3 linked regions of the Nothobranchius furzeri genome follow. The protein of the gene in region 3 interacts with the protein of the main gene of each other region in a biochemical or structural test. Links are inferred from orthologs where the notes say so. Each region holds a gene or a part of one and is shown on either strand. Other genes may lie near its edges.

Evidence for each region.
Region 1: the proteins of fbxl17 (region 3) and kelch-like protein 12 form a complex in vitro, tested with the Homo sapiens proteins (3 studies listed by BioGRID, with this or other methods). The link is inferred for Nothobranchius furzeri from reciprocal best matches to the Homo sapiens genes FBXL17 and KLHL12.
Region 2: of the proteins of fbxl17 (region 3) and sufu, one has a biochemical effect on the other in vitro, tested with the Homo sapiens proteins (2 studies listed by BioGRID, with this or other methods). The link is inferred for Nothobranchius furzeri from reciprocal best matches to the Homo sapiens genes FBXL17 and SUFU.

The regions. Positions count from the first base shown.
Region 1 is NC_091755.1:52,034,759-52,038,664, forward strand, and holds the end of kelch-like protein 12, read right to left. Parts: intron 2,537-3,906; coding exon 2,438-2,536; intron 2,305-2,437; coding exon 2,118-2,304; intron 1,445-2,117; coding exon 1,318-1,444; 3' UTR 589-1,317; downstream 1-588. UniProt on the Homo sapiens protein: Substrate-specific adapter of a BCR (BTB-CUL3-RBX1) E3 ubiquitin ligase complex that acts as a negative regulator of Wnt signaling pathway and ER-Golgi transport.
Region 2 is NC_091752.1:22,197,649-22,201,743, forward strand, and holds the start of sufu (suppressor of fused homolog), read right to left. Parts: upstream 2,890-4,095; 5' UTR 2,809-2,889; exon of another isoform or gene 2,719-2,808; 5' UTR 2,691-2,718; coding exon 2,542-2,690; intron 1,582-2,541; exon of another isoform or gene 1,482-1,581; intron 1,057-1,481; coding exon 922-1,056; intron 704-921; coding exon 567-703; intron 1-566. UniProt on the Homo sapiens protein: Negative regulator in the hedgehog/smoothened signaling pathway. Down-regulates GLI1-mediated transactivation of target genes. Down-regulates GLI2-mediated transactivation of target genes. Part of a corepressor complex that acts on DNA-bound GLI1.
Region 3 is NC_091757.1:53,120,322-53,124,488, forward strand, and holds the start of fbxl17 (F-box/LRR-repeat protein 17), read right to left. Parts: upstream 2,918-4,167; 5' UTR 2,718-2,917; intron 524-2,717; 5' UTR 504-523; coding exon 21-503; intron 1-20. Other genes in the region: prxl2c (peroxiredoxin-like 2C), read left to right, coding at 3,427-3,687, 3,871-3,939, 4,027-4,080. UniProt on the Homo sapiens protein: Substrate-recognition component of the SCF(FBXL17) E3 ubiquitin ligase complex, a key component of a quality control pathway required to ensure functional dimerization of BTB domain-containing proteins (dimerization quality control, DQC).

The sequences.
Region 1 (3,906 bases), on a different chromosome or scaffold from region 3:
AGGATGTAAGATACTGATCATTATGTTTTTGTAGAAACACACAAAAAGATCTGAAGTACATTTGTCCTGCAATTAAATGATTCTAGAACCTTAAATCTATCAATTCTAATTTATGTAACCGAAGTTTGTGTTTTTCTCCTCATGTCTTTATTTCATAAATCATCTCAAGTGTTCCGACTGGGAAAAAGACACTTTTTGAACTTTGTACCAAAGTTATTGAACTGAACTCAGCTGGGAAAACAATTTTACACCTTGGTACCAAACTAAAAATCTGACCACCACAGCTGGTAAGAATTTATTCAGGTTTGGTAAAACAGTAACGTTTTTAACCTAACCTAACCAAGTTAATTATTTGACCTTTCTGTAATCTTTCCAAAACCAAAAGAATAATCCAAACTTAAGTGGAAAACAAAGTGCTGGACTGATATTTTTGAAATGTAAAATCATTTTGTTTTCACTAGTTTTGTCTATTAAACCAAAACTCTAACTGGTTTAAGTGTAAGAACTGGATTGCACTTTGAGAGCTGACTAGACTGAAGAAGCTGATTAGATAACCGGTTTCTCAGAGTTTTTTTTTTATTGAATTTCCCAAAAAACAATGATGTTAGTGTGTGTGTGTGTGTGTGTTTGGAGGGGGAGGGGCTTCATGCATCCCTCAGTTTTGCCAAATAGGAGAGGAAAAATCATCGGATTGTACATGTAAGTCAATTTCTAAAACAATATTCTTCTTGAAATATATCTTTAGTAATAAACCTTTTGTGTTAAAGTGATTTCTATCTAAAAGTACCATTATCACAATGAGTTACAAAAGAGGGGAGTGAACTACTGACCCATTAAAGAGCCTGCAAATGGCACATCAGTTCACTTAACCATCATTCTCATGGGCGGCATCATGAACGTCCACTGGTGGATGATAGGCCAAAGTCATAAGGCATTTAGCAGCAAGGGGAGCCTAAACCTGCTCCATCCTTTTTTGTTGATGAGTAAAAATATATTGCACTTTGAAGACAAACTGAAAAAATAATCTCACAGGTAACAACAGACACCACTGAAGAGTCATGCAAGTGGTGATGGGCTCCTTGGAAGTGAAGTGTGGTTGACCACGGCGAGGCTGAGGCTCTGCAGCGCACTGACAAAAGGTGAACTAACCTTCAGAGGAAAAAGCCCAAACTGCTGCACGTCACCTTTTTTCCCCTTTAGGAGTATCTTTGCATACTGGCACAAAAACGTCTTCCTTTGTGGTTTAATTTAGCGGCATTTTAGCAAAAGTCTAGCTGCCTGTCCTTTTCTTCTTGTGGTTCTTGCTCTTGCAGAACATCATTTTTCTCGCAGAACGCAGACGCCTGCGTCACATCGCTGGGTCGCCATCGATGTGACGACCTCCCAGGAGTCAATAACTGGGTCATAACATTCAATACTGCTGAGGAGAGAGTTTCCGTCATATCTGGAGAAAACAGAGAGTGAGCAGTGAGCCGCACCAGAACACACACACACACACACACCTGTGTGAATGAAGGCAGAACCCAACACATAACCACTCTGTTGTATCACAGCAATGAGCTAAATGTCTAAATAAATATGATGCATCTTCTTGAGTCTCACACAATCACTGTATTTGTAAAAGGATGAAAAATTTCTGTATTAATGATTAAAATATGCCTGAAAAAAAAAATACATGCAAACATTCAGTTGGAACTTGAAGGGATCCTGACTCTCATCGATCACTGACAGATAAACTGGAAAACTAGTGCAAATATACATGTAGCAAAATGCCTCAATTTGTGGTTCCATTTGTTCCCGTATTCACAATTTGGTCACAAAACTGTCCCAAGGCTGCTTTACAGAAATTAAACAGAGAAGTTGAGTGCAACAGCATCTAGGTGCTTTCCAGCCACAGCCAGCATCACTTCATCCGTTAATCTCTGTTGGAATTAAAACATCTCATTGTTCATCGACTTTTTCCTTCAACATTTGCATAATAATAAACTCTTACCACTTATAGCCCAGGTTCGATCATTTTCAAATTAGCATGACCATGCAGTGCTAATCCTTCCGTCTCAGCTCTAACAGGTCAGAGGTCAAACATCAGATACAGAGAGAAGGATGCTCATTCTCACCCTGCGATGGCGTAGAGTCGTCCTCGGAGGACGGTTGCTCCTACGTAACACCGAGGAGTGGTCATACTGGCCACAGTGGTCCAGTAGTCTGTTCGGATGTTGTACACCTCCACCGAGTCCAGGTGAGAAACTCCATCAAACCCCCCCACCACATAAATGTGGTCATTGAGTAAAGCCACACCAGCTCCTGAACACAACGGTTAGGGTCAGAGTAGCATGCACACAAGCGCGCGCGCGTACACACACACACACACACACACACACACACACACACACACACACACACACACACACACACACACAGCGGTTTTCAGATTCACCTGATCGTTTCGTAGCCATGGGCGTCACACTGGTCCAGTGTCCTGTGTGCGGGTCGTACCGCTCCACTGAATTCAAAATATTTAGACCATCATATCCACCTGCAGGGTGAAGCATTGTGATATAATCACTACACATTAATATTAATGTGGAATAGCCAGAGCAATTAAAACATGTCTGTCTTCATCCTGCTTTCCTGGGGAGTACCTCAGGGTTTAATCCTAGGTCCACCCCTCTTCACTGTCTATATTCTCCCTCTCGGCAATATTTTAGTGAAAACTGGTTTGCACTATTACTTCTATACTGATGGCTGTCAGGCTTAACTAGCCTTAGATCAAACTGGTTCCATTAATCTACTTCTTGTCTCTCTGATGTTAAGGCCTGGATTGCTTTCAACTTGCTCTGGCTTAATGATGATAAGACTGAGGCCATTCTCTTTAAACCAAAAAAAATAGGAACCTGCATGAATTTTCAACTCTTGATCTCCCGTGTTACAGGGTGACCTCCTGTCACTGTATCCCGATTGATCATGCGCCCTGGCAACTTGGCCACGGGAATATCCTTTTGGTTGGCTTGTTAGCGTGCGTGATTCTCACCCGCGAGTCTGGGGATCGAAATCCTGCTCGAGCCCTCGTTTCTCCACCTTGCCACACCTGCATGAATCTCTAATCCTGTGCGACCAACCTCTGGGTCAAACTAGATGCAGACATATCAATGACCCCACAGATAAATGCTACTGTGAGGTCTTTTTTCCAACTGTGATGTCTTGACACGCTAAAAACCCATCCTTAGAAGACCACACCTGGAATAGGTTATTCACGTGTTTATCATCTCAAAACTTGACTATGCATATTCAGTCCTTGTTGGTGCCTCTGTTAACTGCTTAAAGAAAGTCTAAAATGCTGCTGCACGATTCCTTACAACTACAAGCAGACGATGCCATATCATTCCCACCTTGGCTGATCTACACTTTCCTGTGACCTACCAAGTGCAGTTTAAAATTTTGTTGTTCACTTATGAAGCTCTGAATGATCACGCACCCCACTACCTGTCTGAGCTGCTCACTTGCCAACTCCCCTCCCGATCACTACAATCTACAGATCAATTGCTCTGCACTCCTAAAATGAAATATCCATCCCACGGTGAGCGGGCATTTGCCATTGCCGCTCCTAAGCTGTAGAACGCACTCCCTCTGGAAGTGTGCCTGGCTTCGACACTTGTGCATTTGAAATCAAAACTGAAGTCACATCTCTTCAAACTGGCTTTCAGCCAGTGAAGTCCTCCTAATGGGTGTGTCCTCAGCTTTCGGCTTTCTATTTTGTGTCTTACCTATTTTAATTGTTTGGTTTTAAATTCTATGTTTTATTTATGTACCACCTACATTATGCTATCTAGCTTTTTCTTGGGTTTTAGGTGTTTTACTTTTTTGAATCATTGTTTTTACTCACTGTTTAACTTTGTCGTATTTTGC
Region 2 (4,095 bases), on a different chromosome or scaffold from region 3:
TCCCTATACGCCCAGCAGAGCTCTGAGATCCTTAGGAAACAGTCAGCTTGTAGAACTGTGGGTCAGAACCAAACAGGGTGAAGCTGCTTTTAGCTACTATGCTGCAAACAGATGGACCCAGCTTCTTTGTGACCTCAAATGTGCCCCAACTCTAGAAACTTTTAAATAAAAATCTTAAATTTTAATGTTCTCCCTATTGGAATGCACATTAAATTGCCACTGTGCATGAAATGTGCTATACAAATGAAACTGCCTTGACTTCTATTCAGCTATGATGTCAAAATACTGTAACTGCAAGCAGCATGCACAAAAAGCATGACCTTTAAATTTACAACATCCTGCTGTGGTGGCAAAACACAAACATGCAGTAGATGATCTATAAACTGTGGCTGAATCGATCAACACTCTCAGTTATCCTAGAGGATGCATGACTGAATAAAAACAATTCTTGAACATTAAAAGTTAATCAAAAAGAAAAAAGGCAAAAATAAATAAATAAAAAAACAAATTTTTTTCTCCAAGGTCAATCACTGCAGATTTGCTAAAAGATGACCATTTAATCTTACCTGACTGGAACACATAGCGAGCCAAGCCTTGCATGAGTTCAGCTGGCCACGTTGGAGGTGCCGTCTCTCCCGCCTCTCTTTTGAGTCTAAAAGTGAGCTCAAACCCAAACCCACTGGGTCCATCTGCTCCAGTAAATCTGCAAGAACGGTGAGGCAACACTGAGCATGAGCCAGTAAGATCAGTGGTTTTTGCATGTGGTGTTGAAGGTTTCACTGTAAAAGGTGTATAGTGCAAATATTTATCCGACTGACTGGTGACACCCCACTTTTTAACTAAATTAACTAGAAATTTACATATTTTTTACACAAAGTGGCTTGTCATATTAGAAAATAATAAAACTTTTCCTTCACTCACTCGTGAACACGATTGTCTCCATAAAGGTCACTCAGGCCAAAGCTAACATAGTGCCAATGCTCCTGGACGTCCTGGGCTGGACAGCCCATGTTCCTGTACATGCTGATGTAGTCTAAAGGGTCTGGTCCACCAAGCCTGTTAAAAGAGCAAAATGCAAACCATCAGTCATAGAGCACTTAGTTAGCATGTGGGGCGTAAAATTACTTGCTAGTTTTTGTTTTCATATTTAGTTCTTGCTTGACTTGTTTGATACTGGATAACAGATGTTAGCTGAAGCATCTAAAGTTTATTGAAAATATTGTTTAAATCATAACATCATCATCACAACATATAATATTATTCAAGCCTTCGTTTTTTTATAGCTTTTTTCCCTTTTTGAGCATTTGTTATGATGTGTAACCATGGCAACAAGCTAGTTTACAATCGGGAGCAGCTGATTAACATTGGAAAGGCTGAAATAATACCTCAACTGAAGCCACAAATCCCAAATGAGCTAAAACGCAAGAAGCGTGGGTGCAGAGCGGGAGCAAAACGGAAACGGAGAAAGAGGAAATTCAAACCATCTCTTCCATTGATCATAATGGGCAATGTGAGATCACTGGCCAACAAGATGGAGGTCCTTTCAACGACTCAGCCAGAGTTTCTGCAGTTTCGGAACCACTGGAGGAGATAATGCAAAGAAGGATTCTCCAGAGAATCAAGAAAATTATGGACAACCCTGAGCATTCTCTTCACAAGACTGTCCGACAACGGAAGAGTGTCTTCAGTCAGAGGCTTCTTCAGTTTCTCTGCAACAGTAATCACTAGTGGAGATCCTTCCTGCCAACAGCCATTGTAATATACAACAACTCTTTGATGACTTGATTATTATTATTATTCTGAGCTACTACAGCAATCAATTTCCCTCTGGGATTAATAAAGTATTTTTGAATTGAATTGTACTTCTAGGAATGGAAATATAAAATATTTGCTTTCTTTGATCTATTAAATGTCCCTGGCAACATTTTAAAAACTGCTTAAATATGAGTTTCCATCATAAATGGGTTAAGAATAAGACCTCTACCCTCAGCACAACTACTGAGCAAATATCAAATCCTATTTAAAACAGTCTAATGTGATAATGAAGATTGCATTTCATATTTTCTTGTTTTATACTGAAAAAACAACGTTATAGGTTGCCTCACCCCAATTTTCCTCTTTCCGGAGATTCTGGGGATTAAAGTGTAATACTTCATGTAGAGTTCAGGTGAAATCTACATATTATCCTAGATAGGTTTATTCTTCAAACACCATGCTAAAAGTATTACTGTAGAATTATAAGATACTGAATATTTGACAATAAATCAGTTAAGAATTATAACGTCAAATTTTCTGTATACGTATTATTTTATTAGGTTGTCTTTTGAATATTGCTGTGCTTGTATCGTGTTTTGTAAGGGACACATATAGCGTGAGCAGTTTTTTTTGGCCACACGATCGTTTAGAAAGTTAGCAAAACTGTTTACGTTAGCACGTAGGCTAAGCTAACTGAAGGCTAGCATTTAGCTAAAGCTAAATAAACGCATTCACAAACTTCACGCAGGCATAATTATACCAGCAAAAACAAAACATGTTACATACCAATACTTAACAATGGCAGTAACTTGCAGAGGGTTGGCCTGCTCGGGGTAAAGTCGCCGACATTCTCCATAGATAGCCTGTAGTCCCGGAGGAAACAGCGGCACCAGCCCGTGGGCTGGGGCACCACTGGTAGGCCGTACTTCATCCATGCCAGGGCCTCGAACAAGTCACTTTTTTCTATAAAGAAACAACGTATAATCCGTTTAGTTAACTTGTTCACCTACATGAATGCTTCACAAACGAATTGTGTAACCAGAAATAGATTACTGTGCTAAAACGTTGTTGGAGCCTGTTGCTCGTCCTGGTACACAAAATAGAGAAAAGGGAGCATTCAATTGTTCAACTATTGGTTGGGCCGGTGTAAACGTCATTGAGTGAATGGTGTTGTTAGCCAATGACAATGAAATATGGATTTAAACATGACTGTGATTGGCTGAGTGGTTGTAAGAAGGCGGGTATATGTTCAGGGTTGGGTCCTCATAATTCAGAAGTTTCTCAGGGGGCAGATGATAACATAATTTTAGAGTTTCATTTTTGAAAACATATGGTGTTAAAATACGCAGCAAAGTGTTTTCCATTGAAACGTCTGAGATGAAATTTCAAAAGACTAAAATAAATAAATAAATGAACTAATGTTACAGCTTAGATTTTAAGAAATATATAACTAAACTAATATAAAACTATGTTTCACAAGGTTATGCCAGGAAGTAAAACTTTTGTGAACAGCATTAATGGGCTGTTTTTTTCTAAAACTATGACTCATTCCTTATAAATAGTAAACTCAAACAATTGCATGTCTGGTTTTGTTTGGGTTCATGTAGTCTTTTTAAGAACTTGTTCTCTTCACATTTCTTTGTGCTTTGTAACCAACAAATCATCACAATACTTAAATAACTAAATCAAATATAAAACTGAAGTGAATGTGTCATGAAGGCCGGCTGCACTCACTGATATACATTTGGCAAAACCACCATTTAAAAAAACTACCACAACCATAAAGCTGGGCATTTGTTGAATTGCATTAAACAACAACGCCTAAATATCTGCTCCATATAGCATGGAACTATAAATAAGCTTGGGGTTTTACTTAATTATTGTCCAGAACTCAATGAAGACAACTGCATGATAATTTGTTCTTTATTAGTTGTTTTATTTTATAACATCAAGACAGTTACATACAAAAAATTAAATGAACATCATATAAACATACAGATGACATTCCGGGTCACAACAGTGATAATAAAATCACTTCTATATTCATGTACATCTATATCTGTTTCCTAAATCATTATTGTGTATAGGCTAATCTATTTTACAAAGTTCTGTAGACAGTATTGTGAAAAAAACACAGTATTAATGTGACGTTTCTTCACATTTATATTTTTGGTGCATTTTAATGTAGTTTACATATTTTACAAAGTTTCCACTGTGGCTCAACTATATAATAACTATATTGTTCTGGTACAAAAACAGAAGTAATTTTAAAAACTGTCGTGGATCACAGTGAAAGAAAAAAAATTTGAATTTTGATCATTATGGCCTGGGAACAGGAGG
Region 3 (4,167 bases):
TTATGAGTGCTCATGCTTACCATCTCAGAGCAGTCGTTGGCGCAGGTGGGCACAGGCAGAGGAATGGGCACAGTCACAGACACACCGGCAGTCCGGAAAAGCACCGGTGGTGGAATTAGTTTAGCAGGAACCGCCGACAGAAGACTCCTCCCCTGGCCTTCCCAGATAGCGAGTTCTCTCTGCGACAGCAAGAACTTGGAGCAGTCCTCAGGAGATGCGAGTGCTGCGTATCGCTCAGCGAGCTTGGAAGCGGCCGACGCGCTGATGCCACCTCCGCAAACACCGGGGACACCGATTCCAGCAACGCTGTTGTGACGGCACCCGTTGACACCGGCTTCCAGCTGGTCGCTGTCTTCGTCGAGATCACGGTTGTTGCTGTGGATGATGAAGCAGAGCATGCAGGGCCCCCGCAGAAAACAGTTTCTCCTCTTCTTCTTCCTGTGATTCAGTTTGCGTGTCCTCTTCTTCAGGCGTAAACCATTTTTGGAGAGAAGATGGCCCATATAGATGACTCAACGAAACTCTAGAAGATCAAGAATGCATTTGTTAGAAAATGACCGTAAATCATGTCTCGTTACACCAAAATCTAAATTAAAATATGCCTCATTAGTAAAAAAAAAATGAAGCCATTAAATTTCTGGCAGACAGTAAGCATACAATGCAGAAGTCCTAAACTACATTTATTTTTATATATGTAGCTTCCAAAGAGCAAAGCATTCATTGTCATGTTGTTAAACAACTTTTGTTAATTATAGAAGTGTATTCTTTAGACTTCTGCTGCTTTTTCCCTAATTTCCAATGACAGCGTGATTTAGAGTGTGAATAAATGACAGCAAACCAGCCGAACAGAATTTGAAAGAATTTCTTGAAGAAATAGTACAAATTCAGCGAAGGTCTGAAACAGGACCAGAGAGATTGATTAACTGCTGTATGTCACTTTTCAGAATCAGAATCAGAATAGGTTTATTGCCATTGTCAGTGAACAAACAATTCACAAACTAGGAACTTGCTTCGGTACGAATGTGCTCCATATAACATGAATAATAAGATTAAAAATAGAATAAAATAGAATAAAAAAAAACGAATAAAACTTTCAGCGATAAAAAATGGCAGGTAATGGTAACATGGCCGATAACGTATCTTTGTGTCGAGTACAGAAGACGAGCATGGTTGTGTGTTTATAATCTATTCACAAGTCTAACGGCAGATGGAAAGAAGCTGTTCTTATGGTGAAAGGTTCTGGTCCGGATGGACCGTAACCTCCTGCCTGAGGGAAGCGGCTCAAAAAGTCTGTGACCCGGGTGCGAAGGGTCAGCTGCTATCCGACCTGCACGCCCCCGAGTTCTGGAGACGTACAGGTCCTGGAGAGATGGAAGGCTGCAGCCAATCACCTTCTCATCAGAGCGCACAATGCGCTGCAGTCTATGTTTGTCCCTCACTGTGGCTCCAGCGTACCACACAGCGATGTAGGAGGTGAGGATGGACTCAATGATGGCCGTGTAAAACTGCACCATCATCTGGGCCGGCAGCTTGGCCTTTTTCAACTGCCGCAGAAAGTACATCCTCTGCTGGGCCTTTTTGATCAGGGAGCTGATGGATGGCTCCCACCTAAGGTCATGTGTGATGGTGGTTCCGAGGAAGCGGAAGGAGTCCACAGTGGTGACGGGGGTGTACGTCAGCAGACAGCTCACTGGGCATCACCTTGTTAACATACAATTTAACTATTTTAGGTGGTATGTGCTACATTTGGATTTTTTACATGAACTGTATTCAAGAAATCTGAAAAAATTTGTCTTTTCGACAGCTGTCGAGAATGAACTATTTAATACTGATTAAATGTTGTTTTTATGTTATATAATTATTATTTTTTAATTCCCATCTCACCCTCTGCGGGTAGTCTCATCCTTCCAATCTCAGTTCTTCTATCAGTGGCCTGGGAGCTTGAGGGTTCTGCGCATTATCTAGGGCCTTATGAAATTAATTTTAATGCCCTCTTAAAAACCTGTTTACCACCACATGTTTTTGTTATATTTTTCTGCATTTGTTTATCTAAAGTCGGCTGTTCTAAAAAAAATTAAAACAGAAAAAATTTAAACTAATTCTGGATGACAAACTATGAAAATATAATAAAATAGATTTCACACAAATGGCTTAACAAAAAGAAAGACATTTTGTTAAAATTATCAGAAAATGAGAGAAGTCAGTCCAAATGAAGGACATTTGAAATTTCCTGAAGAAATCTTGCTTATCTATTGTAAATAATTACAAAATGTCTGATTTGATGCAAAATATTTTTAAACTGTCAATGTTTGCACAGTTATGCAAAGAACGACAGAGCAGATCCTAAAAATCTATGAGGAAGCTTAGAGCAACTATTTTCCTCGTCATAAAATAAGCAAACGTTGTTGTCAACGGCTAACTTTCAGCTGATCATCAGCAGAAACATCTGCAGAGATGTCTCGTCTGTTTGTTGTCGAAGGAAAACACAAAGATGTAAACAGTGAACAGGTGGTCGTTTGTTTAGCTTGCGCAAACACACAAACGCAGTCTAAAACATCCGGTTTAGAATTGTACCCGAGCTCTCTGCGGGTTTATGTCCGATATTGACTCACAGTTATCCTGTCAGTTGAAACCACTGGGGAAAAAAGATCCTAACGGTGTGTTCTGATAGGCCAGTCATCATCAGATGCTAAGTTTAAGTTAGCTGTAGCTCTCACCACTTCACACGCTGCGGCCACACTCCGAACGATGCTCGCATAATACCGCTGTAGTAAACGTCCAAAACCAGCGCTGACAGGTCCCGAAGGAAGAGATACGGCCACGGGGAGACCTGGAATCGAGCCGCTGCGGTCTTAATCCAAACAGCACTGGGCTTCTGTGCAGCACTTCCGCAGCGCGAGGGCAGAACGACGGAAGCCGACGAGGGAGTTTTTCAATTCGTCATGGGAACAGAACGAGCGTCGGTTATTTATGTTCGAAACGCATTTTTAACAGTTATCTTGCAACTTTATCCCTACAAAATGATCAATTAGAATTCCTAAATGTCACCTGCAAACTCCCCCAGCTAAATTATCCACAGTGTTCCTCTAAATAAAGTTTTCTTTGTAATAAATAAGTCACATTTTCTAAATCGTTTCAGGGTTTTAGATCACTCTGATAAAGAATTTCTCAAGGAATATAACTTACACTGAGTTCTAAGAGTACTGTTCAGGAATATTTGTTAAATCTACGTTTCACTTTGTGATGCATTACCTTTTCAATAATAAGCGTCAGTCATACTCATATTTCTGGTGTAACAAACATGTTTGGTGTAGTATTCATGATCCTACTAATGTAAAAGAAAAACAACTAGAAAGGCCATTTCTTGCACACGCGCGCGCGCACACATACACACACACACACACACACGCCCTGCAGCTTGTGGGCATGAATCAGCTGCTTGTTCCTCCAGCCGTGAAGGCAACTCCCAAAAATAGCGCTGCGTGCTGGGAAGCTCCAGGAAACATGGCTGAAGTCGTTTCACCAATTACCCAACAAGTTCGCAGGGAGCGCTGGGGAAAAGAAACCAGAAGAGTCGATCTTAATCTCAAAGAAGTAGAAGATTGTTTAATTCACGACCGACACGGAAACTCTTTCCCTTTCAAAGGTTTATATCAGGACAGGAAATCGGTCATCGTTTTCGTGCGGGTAGGAAACAAAAAGTTCTTCATTAGGTTTTGTGCTGTTGATTAATTGCATTTAAATGAACAATTTAAGCACAGGTTTGTTTTAATATATGCTATGCATCAAATGAACTTTTGATGCGGTATTTAAAAAACTTCTGGTGGACAGAAAAGTTCCTTTGATTGTTACTTCTCTCCGTTCCTGCAGAACTTCTTGTGTTACAGCTGCAAAGAGTATGTTGATGATTTGAGCAAAGTACCAAGAGAAGCTCTGGAGGTGAGTTTTCTAAGCTGCAAACCAAATGTTTATAATGTTTATAGCTGTTTTATTATTCAGAAATTCCTCATGCACGTGACTTTGCAGGTTGCAGGAATCAGACTGGTTGTGATTGGTCAGTCTTCTTATCATCATATAGAGGTGAGTTAGTTTTTGTATTTAATTTAATATTTTTATTGATTTAAATGAATGCATGTTTGAAATCTTTTTTTTTAAAGAAAAATTGGA